Ovis aries: one gene and its partners. The protein of the gene in region 3 interacts with the protein of the main gene of each other region in a pairwise test. Links are inferred from orthologs where the notes say so. Each region holds a gene or a part of one and is shown on either strand. Other genes may lie near its edges.

Evidence for each region.
Region 1: the proteins of RELA (region 3) and KEAP1 interact in binary tests that used the Homo sapiens proteins (3 or more experiments, as listed by UniProt). The link is inferred for Ovis aries from reciprocal best matches to the Homo sapiens genes RELA and KEAP1.
Region 2: the proteins of RELA (region 3) and NFKBIE interact in binary tests that used the Homo sapiens proteins (3 or more experiments, as listed by UniProt). The link is inferred for Ovis aries from reciprocal best matches to the Homo sapiens genes RELA and NFKBIE.

The regions. Positions count from the first base shown.
Region 1 is NC_056058.1:12,860,349-12,865,652, forward strand, and holds the end of KEAP1 (kelch-like ECH-associated protein 1), read right to left. Parts: intron 4,346-5,304; coding exon 3,660-4,345; intron 2,144-3,659; coding exon 1,938-2,143; intron 1,712-1,937; coding exon 1,356-1,711; coding exon of another isoform or gene 1,235-1,355; 3' UTR 637-1,234; downstream 1-636. UniProt on the Homo sapiens protein: Substrate-specific adapter of a BCR (BTB-CUL3-RBX1) E3 ubiquitin ligase complex that regulates the response to oxidative stress by targeting NFE2L2/NRF2 for ubiquitination.
Region 2 is NC_056073.1:17,747,431-17,751,729, reverse strand, and holds part of NFKBIE (NF-kappa-B inhibitor epsilon), read left to right. Parts: intron 1-719; coding exon 720-822; intron 823-1,539; coding exon 1,540-1,762; intron 1,763-3,217; coding exon 3,218-3,306; intron 3,307-3,416; coding exon 3,417-3,656; intron 3,657-4,299. UniProt on the Homo sapiens protein: Sequesters NF-kappa-B transcription factor complexes in the cytoplasm, thereby inhibiting their activity. Sequestered complexes include NFKB1-RELA (p50-p65) and NFKB1-REL (p50-c-Rel) complexes.
Region 3 is NC_056074.1:40,275,726-40,280,598, forward strand, and holds part of RELA (transcription factor p65), read right to left. Parts: intron 4,447-4,873; coding exon 4,355-4,446; intron 3,987-4,354; coding exon 3,855-3,986; intron 2,987-3,854; coding exon 2,882-2,986; intron 2,671-2,881; coding exon 2,458-2,670; intron 360-2,457; coding exon 279-359; intron 192-278; coding exon 117-191; intron 1-116. UniProt on the Homo sapiens protein: NF-kappa-B is a pleiotropic transcription factor present in almost all cell types and is the endpoint of a series of signal transduction events that are initiated by a vast array of stimuli related to many biological processes such as inflammation, immunity, differentiation, cell growth, tumorigenesis and apoptosis.

The DNA of each region.
Region 1 (5,304 bases), on a different chromosome or scaffold from region 3:
CCTAAATAAAACAAAAGCCTCAGTCTATGTTATTGAAATGCATAAATATGACCTGGTGGACTTTCACTGAATTTGGAAGGCATGTTGGGGATAGTTATTCTTATTGTTTAGACACTCAATTGTGACTCCATGGATTGTAGCCTGCCAGGCTTCTCTGTCTATGGAATTTTCCAGGCAAGAATACTGCAGTGGATTGCCATTTCCTTCTCCAGGGGCTCTTCCCGACCCAGGGATGGAACCCACATCTCCTGCATGGCAGGAGGCTTCTTTACCACAGAGCCATCCGAGAAGCCCATGTTGGGGATCTACTGCCTTAATATAAACTGTGAAAATATAATAATATAATATATACTGTGAAAATATAAACTGCGCATGTGTGCAATTAATCTCGGGGAGCCCTAGAGAGGTGTCAAGGAGTTGGGTCATTGTCTTCAAAGCAGTTGAAAGTGACAGACAAAGTGAGCCCTGTGTGACTTGCTTGTGGGGAGCAAGATGCCCTACATATCAAAATTCAGCGGGGCCGAGATAACAAACTGGTTTCCAATCCAAGCCTTAAATCAAAAGACTTTTGAGTGCATGTCAGGAGAAAAGTCCTTTCTGTCCCCACAGGTTTGAGATCTCTGGCTGAGAGCCCAGTTGGAAGACACTAGTTAGTTTGTTCTTTATTTTCATCTGAAAGTTACAGGGCTATTTATCAACAAAATGACTGTCCGGGCAGCAAAATCCAGTGGTTTCTATGTACAGGCCCATCCCTGGGGTCCACACCTCTGGAGGGGCCTCCTCCCCCAAGGCCTCAGTGGGCTTCTTCCCAGGCCTCTAGGAAATAATCACAAAGACACAGGGGATGAAAACCAGCCTGTCCCCAGCACCTGCTTTCGTCCCACAGGGAGGTGGCGGCTGCTGGTGGGGGAGCCAGGCCTAGTCTTGGGGTAGCGGGTGTGGAGGGCCTCTCTCTGGGGAGCCCGTCCTTCCCGCGCCCACCTCCTGGGCAGGCTCTCGTTGGACATTCCTGGGACTGCTCTGGCAGGCTCACGAGTTCCCACTCTAGCCTTCTTTTCTTTCACGTCGTGATTGGAACACTGTGGTGTCCCAGCCTCCCATTCTGGAGGCCACGGTTTGCACTGTGGAGCCTCTTCATTTGTCCCTGGTTTTTTTTTTTTTTTTTGTACAGAAACGACAATAGTCTGGATCCGACCTTTTTTTTCTTTTTCCCCGCTCAGGAAACAGAAGCGGCTCAACAGGTACAGTTCTGCTGGTCAATCTGCTTCCGGCAGGGTTCCATGGTGACAGCCACGCCCACCCCACTCCGGCCAGAGGTCATTCGGGTCACCTCGCTCCAGGTGTCTGTGTCTGGGTCATAGCACTCCACGCTGTCCAAGAATGTGTGACCGTCGTAGCCCCCTGCAGGGAGGGCAGGAGGGATGGTCGGTCACTACTCCAAGGGGGTGGGGGCTGGGGGCGGGCAGGAAGGAAGGAAGCATGTGAAGCCCTCCTACTGAAAGGGGCTGGGTGGGCTTCTCCGCCCAGGCCTCACCAAGAACGTAGATCCTTCCCTGGTGAACGGTGATCCCCAGGGCGCTTCGCCGATGCTTCATGGGGGCTACGAACGTCCACGTTTCTGTCTCCACGTCGTAGCGCTCTACACTGTTGAGCTGGTCCTGACCGTCGTAGCCCCCCGCAGCATAGATACAGTTGTGCAGGACGCAGACTCCTAGACCAGACGACACAGAGAGGATGACTCCAGGGCCTGGCCTTGGGGGCCCCAGCCATCACCTTCTTGGGGGGACACCCTCCCCTCTCCCGTCACCCGTCTCCCTTCCTCCCCTCCCATGAGGGGCCCTGTAGAGACAAAGCCAAGAGCAAGGAGCTCTACGAGGGTCACTCCCAGGGTGGGGAGGGTGCCCCTCCTTGCTCCCCTCCCCGCAGCCCCCTCCCACCTGCTCCGCTTCGGATGGTGTTCATGGGTGTGATCATCCGCCACTCGTTTCTCTCTGGGTAGTAACACTCAGCTGAGTTGAGGCGGTTTGTCCCGTCGAAGCCCCCGACCGCGTACAGCAGACGGTTGAGGACAGCCACTCCCACCCCAATCCTTCGTGTCAGCATCGGAGCCACCAAGTGCCACTCGTCCCCCTCCGGCTCATACCTGCCACAACAGAGCAGCAATGACGACAGCAGCCCCCGCCGACCCGAGGCACTGACCCACCAACACTCCACTGTGGTGTTGGTTTTTTTCTTTTTAATTTAAAAAATAATTTTATTTGGCTTTGCTGGGCCTTCCTGGCTGCACAGGCTTTTCTCTAGCTGCGGTGCGCAGGCTTCTTGCTGCGGCTGCTTCTCTAGTTGCGGAGCGGGAGCTCTAGAGCAGGTGGGCTTCAGCAGTTTCCGCTCCACGGCTCCCACAGCACTGGCTGAAGAGTTGTGGCGCACTGGCTTACAGCTGCTCTGAGGTACGTGGGCTCTTCCTGGACCAGGGATAGAATCCACGTCTCCTGCATTGGCAGGTGGATTCTTTACCGCTGCAACGCCTGGGAAGCCCCTTACCTGAACTCTTCAATTTTCACAAGGATTCCCTACAACGCAAGTTATCAGTAGCTCCGTTTTCTAGACAAGGAAACAGGTTCACGGCCCCCATCTGCTCAAGGTCGCCTGCACCTCTGCTGGACTCAAATGGCTCCATCAGACCACCGCCTAAGCTAAGTGTTGTATGAATGCAGGACACACAGGAGACACCAGTTCAGTTCCTGGCTCAGGAAGATCCCCTGAAGGAGGAAATGGCAACCCACTCCAGTATTCTTGCCCAGGAAATCCCATGGACAGAGGAGCCTGGCGGGCTATACAGTCCATGGGGTCACAGAGTCAGACACACAGAGTGAGCACACACGCAAACACAGGGTCACCATGCACAGCTGTACTGTACACAGACTGTGTACTGCACACGGGCACCACATCTAAGGGGGCACCTTCCACGTTAACGGACCTCATATGTGTGTTTCTTACAACCATTTGTGGATAGATAGCAGTCAGGTGTCATGTTTTAACGAAATTAGCATATTAACATTCTGACAGTTTCAAACTGATGGAACTTCTTCCAAATCTGCTAACACTCGTTGTATGGGTATGTGATGGCCCTGTAAACGGTTCCCAGGCCAGGACACATCATCCAGGGTCATGACCAAACATCCCCCAGGAGTTTAGCTTCACCTTGAGGCTTCCATTCCCTGAAGGCAAGGCACAAAGAAAAGCACTCAACAATTGAGGGAAGACGTCCCTGGAGGTGCAGTGGATAAGAATCCACCTACCAAGGCAGGGGACATGGGTTCGATCCCTGTGTCTTTAATCAGGAAGATCCATGTGCCGTGGAGCAACTAAGCCTGTGCCATAACTACTGAGCCCACAGGCTGCAGCTACTGAAGCTGGTGGACTTAAAGAGCTTGTGCTCCACAAGAGAAGCCACTGCAATAAGCCTGTGCACCACAACGAAAAGCAGCCCCGGCTCACAGCAACTAGAGAAAGGCTGCGTGCAGCAACAAAGACCCAGCACAGATGAAAATAAATAAGTATTTTAAAAGAAAGACAGGAGGAACCCTCAGATCCCAATGGCGGGGACGTGTGAGCAGCAGAACCCCCCGGATCCCACGCCTCCTGCCCCCACCACTCACCTCTCCACACTGTTGTGGTGGATACAGCCATGGGAGCCGCCAACGGCATAGATATGCCCGTCGATGACGCCCACCCCAATTCGGTTGCGGGGTACGCTCATGGAGGCGCAAGGCGACCACTGGTTGGTCATGGGGTTGTAGCAGTCCAGGGCACTGGAGTCGGTGTTACCATCAGGCGAGTTGTTGCGGCCACCCACGGCGTACAGCAGCCCACCCACCACACAGCCCGCCAGGCCGCTCCGGGGCACCTGCAGGTCTGCCAGCCGGAGCCAGGTGCCATCGCTGGGGTTATAGGCCTCCAGGTAGCTGAGCGACTGGCGGAAGTAGCCACCGGCCGTGTAGATGAGGCGGCCCACCTTGGGCGCCCGGCAGGGCATCACCTGCGTGGGCTTGTGCAGGGTGAGCTCCTGGAAGATCTTCACCAGGTAGTCCTTGCAGCGGGAGTCCGACTGCAGGATCTCACACTTCTGCAGCTGCATCTGCAGGAAGTGGGGCGTGAGCGAGTGGCAGCGCACAGCCCGCAGCAGCGCCTGCACGTAGAAGCGCCGCTGCTCGCAGTCATACTTGACCCAGTTGATGCAGGCGTGGAAGACCTCAGACTCGCAACGCACATTCAGGTCATCCCGGCTGATGAGGGTTGCCAGCTGGCAGTGGGACAGGTTGAAGAATTCCTCTTGCTTGGCCACCTGCAGAGGGCGACAGTGCCATGGGCTGACTTAAGGTCTCTCTCCACTCCCACCTGCCAGGAGCCAGCACAGGAGATCCCACCCATGACAAGGTCATGAGGAGAGACCTGACAGGCAAGGAGGATCAGGACTCGAGGGACTCCTTGGACCTGCTCGAGCATCTACCCAGATAACAAAATCTGTCTACCGTTTACTATATTATGCCTTTCACTTACTCGTCTGGCATTAACAGGGGCTATCCCCGACCACCTTTCTCTGGAGAAAATCAACTTAGGGCTCTAGTTGATAAGTCTCCTGGGCATGAAAGGAATATTTCAATTCAAACCTCTCTGTTAGCATTCTAACTTGCGTGGCAGGTTTATCCATACTCTTAAAACTAACGCACATACATGATTGTTCACAATTTCCCAACCATGAAAGGCAGGGGAACTTAAACATTCTAAAGTCCTAATAGGCATAGAGCCCTTTGAGGAGCAAAAATTATTAGAATAGTGCTGGTGAAGGATTTCATTGTTGAGCCAGTGCTTGCTGCCAAGTTTCCATATCCCTTACCCATTGTGTGCCTGGGAGTATACTAGTTAATATAGTTGGTATGTAGGGAAAATAAGTAGTAGCCTTGGTGTTAGCAACATTAGACCTTTGAGTTAATAAATTTTTTCTTTGTTATAACCCACTGCACCTTTGTCCCATAGGAATGTAACTTTATTTAGTACTTTCTGAGAGTGGTGCCGGACTTTAGAACAAACACTTTTAGAGAAAATAAGTTTTCTAGTTGACTAACCTTTATCAGAAAAAAGGGTCATAAAATGTTAACAGGCCTCCAGGCCAGAAGAGGATGTAAATCACATAAGACCTTTGTATATAGAAAGGTATGCAGAAAGAAAGCCTGGTTTCAATAAGGGTCAGAACTGCTGACCCTGCATGACTCTGCATCTTCCATCCCCCTCTATGTACAACCC
Region 2 (4,299 bases), on a different chromosome or scaffold from region 3:
CCTGACGTGGGGAAACCCCAGGGCTGGAACTTCCCCTCCTGTCCGCCCCAGGTTAAGGCTCTTTATCCCCCACCCCAGGCACACATTTTCTGCACTGCACAGTCCTCCCCGCAGAGGCACACACAGGAGCGGGGGCCCAGCTCAGGCTCCGTCCCAGCCCTGCAGAATGGCCTCTGGCTGTCCCGTGGAGAGCAGCAGGACAGAGCGCTGCCCTGTCTCCTTGCTCCTTTTCCAAGAGCTTCTGTCTCCTCTCTTTTGGGAGGTGTTCATGAGGGGACAGAGGGTGACCCCACCCCTGCCCTCTCTGCCCTCCCCATGAAGGGGGCAGAGGTGGGGAGCCCAGCCCTGGAAACCACCTCTGTGCTACCCCAGCGGCTTTCAGTTTGGCTTTGAGCTGCAGCTGCCTGGTGGGGGCCCCAGGGGGCCAGAGGGGAGCGGGGTGTGGGCAGGGTGGACAGGAAGGACCTTGTCCCGTCAGCACCCTGCCCACATTCTCACTCAGCCAAGGCCCTCCCAAAGGCCAGAGATGGGAACTTGGAGCTTCCACCCTCAGGATCCTGGCTTCCCGCAGCAACCCTCACTTCCTGGCCCAAACTCTCACTTCCTGCACCTACCCTCTGGGTGGCAACTTAGACACTGATGTGTTCTTCTAACCCCAGAACCCCAGCCCACTCTGTCTGGCCTGAGCCCTGACCCCAAACCTTGCCTGTGCCTCCCAGGCTGATCCACCTGGCAGTGATTCACGAGGCCCCTGCCGTGCTGCTGTATTGCCTGGCTCTGCTGCCCCAGGAAGTCTTGGACATTCAGAACAACCTTTACCAGGTGGGTGGAGATGATGGGCTGAGCCCAGATACCTATGTCTGCCCCAGCAGCCATCCCCAGCCACCAGACAGCATCCTTTGGCTGCTCCCTCAGGGAACCATATACCAGACACTGGGCAAGAAGCTGAGGACAGAGAGACAGTAGGAATCAGACTCTGCTCACCAGGTGCTCCAGCCAGGGCTGGAGGACTCGTGTCAACACCTAATGGCACAGCGTGGTGACGAGAGTCGTGATAGAGACACATGCCAGCTGCTGTGGGAACCACTGTCTGTGGGAAGCAGCCAGGGAAGGTGTTAGTACAGGACATGATGTCTGCAGGGAGCATTCAAGGAGGAGTGTGCCGAGCAGAGCCTGCTCGATGCCCCTGTCGCCTCCCCCTGAGACCTCAGCCCCTCACCCAGGATAACAGGGCTCCCCAGAGGATGAGAAGCTGGATTCTGCTCCCACCATCACACCCTATCCCTCCCTGCCCCGGCTCTGTCCTTTCTCCAGGGTGGGGGGGCAGGGCCGGCACTAAGGGGACTTAAGAATAGCAGAGGGCCGCCTGCCTTACCCTGCCTCCAGAATTGGGGCCCCAAGAGTTTGATAGGGCACAACAGAAGGAAGACCAGGGCCCACAATTCCCATGCTGCTGGCAATTGCCGTGCCCACCCCAGCAGGTTCCCAGAGGTTGCAGCATGTTGCAGCCACCCTGTGACCCTCTCTCTGTGCCTGCAGACAGCACTTCATCTGGCTGTACATCTGGACCAGCCAGGTGCAGTGAGGGCCCTGGTGCTGAAGGGGGCCAGCCGGGTGCTGCAGGACCGACATGGTGACACAGCCCTGCATGTGGCCTGCCAGCGCCAACACCTGGCCTGTGCCCGCTGCCTACTCGAGGGGCAGCCAGAGCCGGGCAGAGGAACACCTCACTCCTTGGACCTCCAGCTGCAAAACTGGCAAGGTACAGGTGGCCGCAGGGCCTGTGGGAGGAGGAGGGGATAGGAGACAGGGACCCCACTCTCAGGGAAGGGAGGGCCACAGCTTGTCTATTGATGCATCTCCAGTTCTAAGCACATAGGTACTCAGAATACCTTTGTTGAATGAAGGAGTGAATTAATGAATGGATTCTGGTTAGAATTTATGGAGAACCTATTATATGCTAAGCAGAGAGCTCAACTTTGCCCTCAAGATGTACGGTTTGGGGGGCTTCCCTAGTGGCTCAGTGGTAAAGAATCCACCTGCCAGTGCAGGAGACATGGGTTCAATCCCTTATCCAGGAAGATCCCATATGTCGTGGAGCAACTAAGCCCAAGCGCAACAACTGCTGAGACTGTGCTTTAGAGCCTGGGAGCCACGACTACTGAAGTCCGTGTGCCCTAGAGCCTGTGCTCCACAGCAAGAGCAGCCACCGCCATAAGGAGCCGTAGCACTGTAACTAGCAAAGTGACCCCGTTCACCGCAGCTGGAGAAAAGCCCGTGCAGCGAAGACCCCAGCACAGCCAAAAACAAATCAATACATAAAATGATTAAAAAAAAGAACAAAGACATTCAGTTCGGCAGAGATTAGATGAACTCGTTAATTCATTCATCAAAAATGTACTGAGAACTTTCTCTGTACCAGACATTATTGTAGGAGCCAGACTTGCATCTGTGACCAAAACAAGATAATGTCTGAGGCAAACAATAGCCATAAGAAGTGAGTTCTCTGGCAGGTTAACAGGCAGTCACTGCTGTGGGGATGGGAGAGCTAGGTGAGGGGACTGAAGTGGGGGCGTGGGGCTTGATGGGATTTGTAGTCTTTGTGCTAGCTCCTTGCTGGCCTGGGTGCCCCTCTTCTTAAACAACTCAATGCAAATTCACATCCTTCATCTCTTTCAAGTTTCTGCTCAAACGTCCCTGCTCCATGAGGGTCTCCCTGACCACTCTGTTTAAAAATGAACTAATGAATTAATTCGTTCATTCATTAATTCAAGGGCTGGGGGCCTGAGGATCCCTAGAGCTCTGAGGAAGGTAACTTTTAGAAGGGGCCTGAAGGCAGGTAGAGTTTTACAAAAAGACTGTGTGTGTGTGCGGACAGGGGAGGCAGCATGTGGTGGGGGAGGGTGTGTGTATGGGGGGGTGTCACTCAGCAACCTGACTCCCGAAGCGTGGTGTATGGGGGGGTGTCACTCAGCAACCTGACTCCCGAAGCGTGAAAGTTTCAATAACATGACTGAAAAGGTGGAAACTTTGAGTTCCTTTCCCCCCAGACTTTTGAGGGGTTTTTTGGGTTTGTGTTTTAACAGTCTTGTGATCAGGGGCACTGAGTAGGCAGGGATGGGGCGGGGGAGTCCCTTGGGGCTGAGGGGTAAGGGAGGTCCCTGAAGAAAGGGAGAGCGAGCTGGTAGATGCAACCCTCATCCTCACCCCATCTCAGGTCTGGCCTGTCTCCACATCGCCACCCTGCAGAGGAACCGGCCACTCATGGAACTGCTGCTTCAGAACGGAGCTGACATTGATGTGCAGGTGAGGTAGCCCATCAGAGAGCTGCCGGGCCCAGGGCCTAGGCATGGGGCCCCTCTTCTTAGAGGCATGCCTCCTCTGAGGGCCTTGGCTGATATCTTTCTTCCCCCCAGGAGGGCACGAGTGGGAAGACAGCGCTGCACCTGGCTGTGGAGACCCAGGAGCGGGGTCTGGTGCAATTCCTCCTCCAGGCGGGGGCCCGGGTGGATGCCCGCATGCTCAATGGATGCACGCCTCTGCACCTGGCTGCGGGCCGGGGCCTCAGCAGCATCTCGTCCACCCTGTGCGAGGCAGGTGCCGACTCCCTGCTGCGAAACGTGGAGGATGAGACTCCCCAGGACCTGGCTGAGGATGTAAGAGGCGGACACTCAGCTCTGCTGTCCAGGGCCTCCCACATCCCTAGTGGAGACAGGAGCTATCACAGCTGAAGGGGCCAAGGAGTTAGGAGCCTGGGGTTGCGATCCACGACTCTGCCACTCTCTCAGCCTGTGTCCTAAGGACCCGGGGCCCGAACCTGGGACTCCTGCAGGAGCCATGCAGCTAACGCGGGCTGGGTATGGACAGCCAGGTGCTGGGGCCTGCCGGAAACCAGATAGTCTTTTGTCTGAGGGTCACTCGCTCTACTCAGCTTTAGCAGATTCTTGCAGAGGAGGAAGACAGGCCCAGTATTTCTAGATCTTGGATTTTTTTTTTTTTAAGAGAGATGAAACCTAGATTTTCTGTAGAGTCTTTCCCATTTTTAAATATATGATGTAAAAAGAAAATCAACATATTTTGTGAGTGCCCTTTCCCACCCTCCACTCCCAAAACGAAAGCAAAAACAGGACCCAGTTGCCCTGAGGAACCACTGTTTTGGGGATTAGTAGGAAGATTTGCTCCCTGATTTCTTTCAGGGATCGCTTGGTGGGGAGGAAAGGGCCTAATGGGTCTCTCAGCTCCCTTCCCCCACTGCCACCTCTGTCCATGGGCCCTAATCTTGCTTCTCTCCATTCCTTT
Region 3 (4,873 bases):
AGGTTTCAGACACCTGCTGGTGAGACTGCTCGACTCTCTCCAAGAGGTTTGGAAACCATGGATCGAACAGATTTGAGCCTACAGTTCCAGTGTGACGACCTTAAGGAAATCCTCACCTGGCTTGGGGATGGAGGCTGAGCCGCGGTTAGGCACAGCGATGCGCCGGGTTGGAGGCCGGGGGTCGGTGGGTCCTGTGGGGTGAAGGCTGGGTCAGTTCTTGGTGTCTAGGGTCCCCTCCCTGCCCACTGCTCTCTGATTCTCCCGCCGCCCCCTCTTACCATTGAAAGGGCTCTTTTTCATGATGCTCTTAAAGGTCTCGTATGTCCTTTTGCGCTTCTCCTCAATCCGGTGACGATCATCTGGGAAAGTAATGGAGGGAAGTGGGTCCTGCTTGTACCAGTGGACCCCCAAAGTTCCCAAAGGACTCTCAGGAGGTAGGCGAGAAGACAAACCTTTTTCTAAGAACCTTTCTCTAAACCTCACCCAGTGAGAACAGCTGCACGACTCTGTGACACTCCACGAATATAAGAATGCCGTGACTTTTTGAGACCTCCATTAGCTGAATGTGGCCTCCAAAGGCCACACAGGTGACCCCAAGTCAGGAGCCAGGAGCCGTCGCAGGGTCCCACCTCAGGCTTCTCTCACCTGCACTGCTGACGTCCCTGCTCCCGTCCAGCCCTGACCAGGCCTGGTGCTGCGCGCTCTGCTTTCTGGGGCAGCCCGAGCATGACAGGCTGGCTTAAGACTTCAACAGACTCTTAACCTTCTCTCTGATCATTTCTGAGTTTAGTCTGGAGCTTTCCGAACTCTCTAACTACTGCAGCACTTGGAGAAGCCCAAAGCACTTGACGTCAAGAGCCCAAAGCCAACCTCACCGTCTCACCTCAAGCACCTGATCCTGGTTCCCTCCCCTTTGGTGTTCCCGCCCTACCTCTTTTGCCCTGTTCCCAAACCTTGGACACATCCTCAGCAGCTTCCTCTTTCTCACTCCCCACCATTCACCCTCTAGACACATGTTCACCAAGCATCTGCGTGCCAGGCTCCATTAGAGCCACTGGAGGTATGGCCCTGAATAAGCAGACAAGGTTCCTGTTCCCCAAAGCTGTGACATCCAAGGGACAGAGGGGCACTGACACAAGTGATAGGAGCTGAGGAGGAGACCAGGGCGAGTAACAGCGCCAGAGGTAAGGTCGAGGGGTCCAGGGAAGCACCGGTGTGAGCCCACCGTGTGAAGATCTGGGGGCCAAGCGTTTCGAGCAGAGGCAACAGCTAGAGCACAGGTCCCCAGGAGGACACAAAGGGCCCTTGGGCTCAGGGTCTTGGAGGAGGCCTGCAGTGGGTGAGACGGTCTCGTGCGTTCTGTCTGTGAGGTTCACACAGCACCTTTTCTCCCGGAACGACCGGAACATCTTCCGAAACCTCCCCACCCCATGTCCCCCCTCTCAGATGCTCTGCACGCTGCTTCCAGACCTGCTCACGTCACTTCTCTGTTCAGAAACCTTTGGTGGCTCCCGAGGCCTTAGGATGTGACCCCAGATGAACGCAAGTCCAGCCTTCAAGGCCCTTCTGCCGGAGCCTGCTCACTACCCGACGACGTGAACTCTTGCCACAAAGCTGTCCCCAAACGTGCTGTGCCCGTTCCCTGCCCTTCTGCTCCACCCGCCTAGAGAATGCGCTTCTGGGTCTTTCTCCAATCTAAATGCTACCTCCTCCACGCGGCCGGTTCCAGTTCCCACAGTATTCTGCACACACCTCGCTGCTTCACGCGTCATTCTGTGACACAGGCTGCTGTTTTGCATGTGTGCCTTCCTCATGTGACCGAGCTCCCAAAGGGCAGGGAACGTGTCTTATCCATCTTTGGATTGATGATACCTGGCGCAGAGCCTGGTGCCAAGTGGACACTCAGTCCTCATCTGGTGGGATGAACTGATGGCTGTTTCAGGCCTTGTTTTCCAGACTGTTAAACAGGTCCCAGGGCAGGACACACTTTCAGGCTGGATGACAGGCTTCAGATAAAGGATCACTTTGGCTGTTCCTATTTGAGCAGATGCCCGAAAGCCCTGACCACAGCATGGCTGTGTGGTGGTGATAAGTATAGATACACTGTGGCAACAGGTCCCAGAAGCCAGATGGCCTGGGTTCAAATGAGGTCTGGGTCTATAACTCACTAGCTATGTGACCTAAGGCAAGTTAGATGCTATCTCCCACCTCAAAAGGTTCATGAGAGAATAAAATCAGGTAATTCACTGATATGCCTGGAATAGGGCCACACATATCACAAGAGCTCAGTAAGTCTTGGGCACCACTATTAAATGAGGTGAGAAGAAGAATCTGATTACTATGGAAATCTGCCCAACCCCAGCTTCTGACCTTCACCTACAGCTGTGGCATCCAGCCCGGCCTCACTCCCACCGGCTGGAGCCCACAGCCCTGCTGCTGCCCTGCCCAGCTGGGTACCTGTGTCTGGCAAGTACTGGAATTCCATGGGCTCGCTGAGCTCCCGATCAGAAGGCCGCCGCAGCTGCATGGAGACACGCACAGGGGCCTGCAGGCTGGGGTCCGCATAGGGCGGCGTCCGGAACACGATGGCCACTTGCCGGTGCACGTCAGCTTGTGAAAAAGAGCCTCGGGCCTCCCAGCCTGGTCCCGTGAAATACACCTCGATGTCCTCTGCAGGAGACAGGGCGGCCGTGTGGGTGCTCAGCTTCCCCAGCCCGCCGCCCCCTGCAATTGCCGATACTAGTCTCTAGAGATGCATGGCCCTGCTGTCCCCAAAGAGTTGGGGACAGTGCTTAAACCAGCTCCTTAACACTTAGTGTGTCTGCTCAGCCTTGCCCCTTGCCTCCTGCTCCTGGGTCCAGCCCTCCTTCTGGCTGTGTACCTTTCTGCACCTTGTCACACAGCAGGAAGATCTCGTCCCCGCCGAGGCAGCTCCCAGAGTTCCGATTTACCCGGCAGATCTTAAGCTCAGCGGTGTTGGGGGCGCCTGAAGGTGTGGGAATAAGGAAGGAAGCCCTGAACCACCGGCAGTCTCCCGGGCTGACCTGCAGGAAAATGCGGCTCCTGCCCAGCCCAGGGTCAAGGTTGTCTAGAATTTGCTGACTACACCTCTGCAGCCAAGATTCAACCATTCCCATTGGCTCCTCACACCAACCAATTCAGCAACTCTGCCGGCACCTACTCCATGCCCAGCTCTGCTCTAGGCCTGAAGAACATAACCACGCACAAAAGGTAAACATCTCTGCCATCATGAAGCATACAGTCCTACGAGAACCAAAGCGATCACAACTGCTGTTTCTCCACCTGACCCAGGCAGTATTCAAGACCCATTCATACACGCTCTGGCAATGAATCCTTCCCTCCTGAGCCCCCCACCCCCACACACACTGGTTCATCCTGGTTTTCTGGCCTTGGGGCTCCAAAGCCTTTTTATTTTCACGTATCCTACTGGCTACTTTTAAACTGCAGTTGACCAATGTCAGCCCAATCCATCTGTAAACTTCCTGTGAGCTTTCCTCATTGAATTCTTAGTTTCTAACATTATCTCGTTCCTGGAAGTTCATTTCCTGGAGTCCTCAGTACAGTTCTGGGCACACCACCCTCTCGTCATGGGCTGGAAATGCCTATCTCCCATCTGACTCCCTGCCAGCCTGGACGCTGCACCTCAAGGGCAGCTCTGCGTCTCCTCTGCCTTGTCTTTTTGGTCAGCACAGTGCTGGGCACAGAGGGGATGACTGATACGTTGGGTGACTGGACGAAGTCAGAGCGACTCTTGCAGGTCACCCCTCCCCACCTCTCCTTTCCTCCTCACAGGCCCACCCCCCTCCCCTTCATGCGGCTCCCTGACCACTCACGGTTGTCAAAGATGGGATGAGAGAGGACAGGCGCCAGGCGGAGGGGCCTGCCTGCCGGGTCCCGCACTGTCACCTGGAAGCAGAGCCGCACGGCATTCAGGTCGTAGTCCCCACGCTGCTCTTCTATGGGAACTGTCAGAAAAACCGATGGTCAGGAGAGCCTGGGCTGGGGGTGGGGCTGGGGCGGAGCAGGGTGTGCGGGTAGCTCTGGGCTGGGAGGGCTGTTGGAAGGTGTGTGAAATAGCAGGAGTCCTAGAAGAGGGTGGTGGGAATGTTCTAGACCCATCACTGACTCCACCTGTGACCCTGAATGTCCTGTCCCCTACACCCCTGCTCTCAGTCTGTTTCTCCAATGGTAGAATGTACTGAACAGGTGTATGTAATGAATGGGCACCGCATCTTGGCCGGTGAGGGACACGTGACGGGAAGGTGGCCTCAGAAGGGTACAGCAGCTGGAGGTGCTCCAGGCAGGCCCAAGCCTCCACCGTGGCCGCCCTCACCTTGGAAGGGGTTGTTGTTGGTCTGGATGCGCTGGCTGATGGCCTGCTCCAAGTCCCGCTTCTTTACACACTGGATCCCCAGGTTCTGAAAGCTGAGGCCCCCCGAGGCATAAGCTCCACTGTCTCCAGCAGAGCCTGGGCCCTCCTGCCTTACCCACTCTGCCCCTTATCCCCTCCCCCACTCACCAGGTAATCATTCTATTCTTAACCCCCTTAAATGCCACCCCACCCAACTGTGCCACACTGAAAGCGACTCCTTACTTTGGCTGACAAGGCCCTGTGCCCTGCCGCCTGGCCCCAGCCACAGTCCCTGCCAGCTCCCTACCCTCTGCCCCAGGGCTTTCTTTTACCCTCTCCAAAGACATGACACTCATTCGTATTTCAAAGCCTTTTGCACCTGTTCATTCTGCTGGGCATGTTCCTTCCCTGCTTCTCTACTTTCTCACATTTAGGTCTTACTTTCGAGAAGCCTTTCTGACGTCCCAGCCCAAAGGAGTGGGACCAGCTCCTTCACTCCCT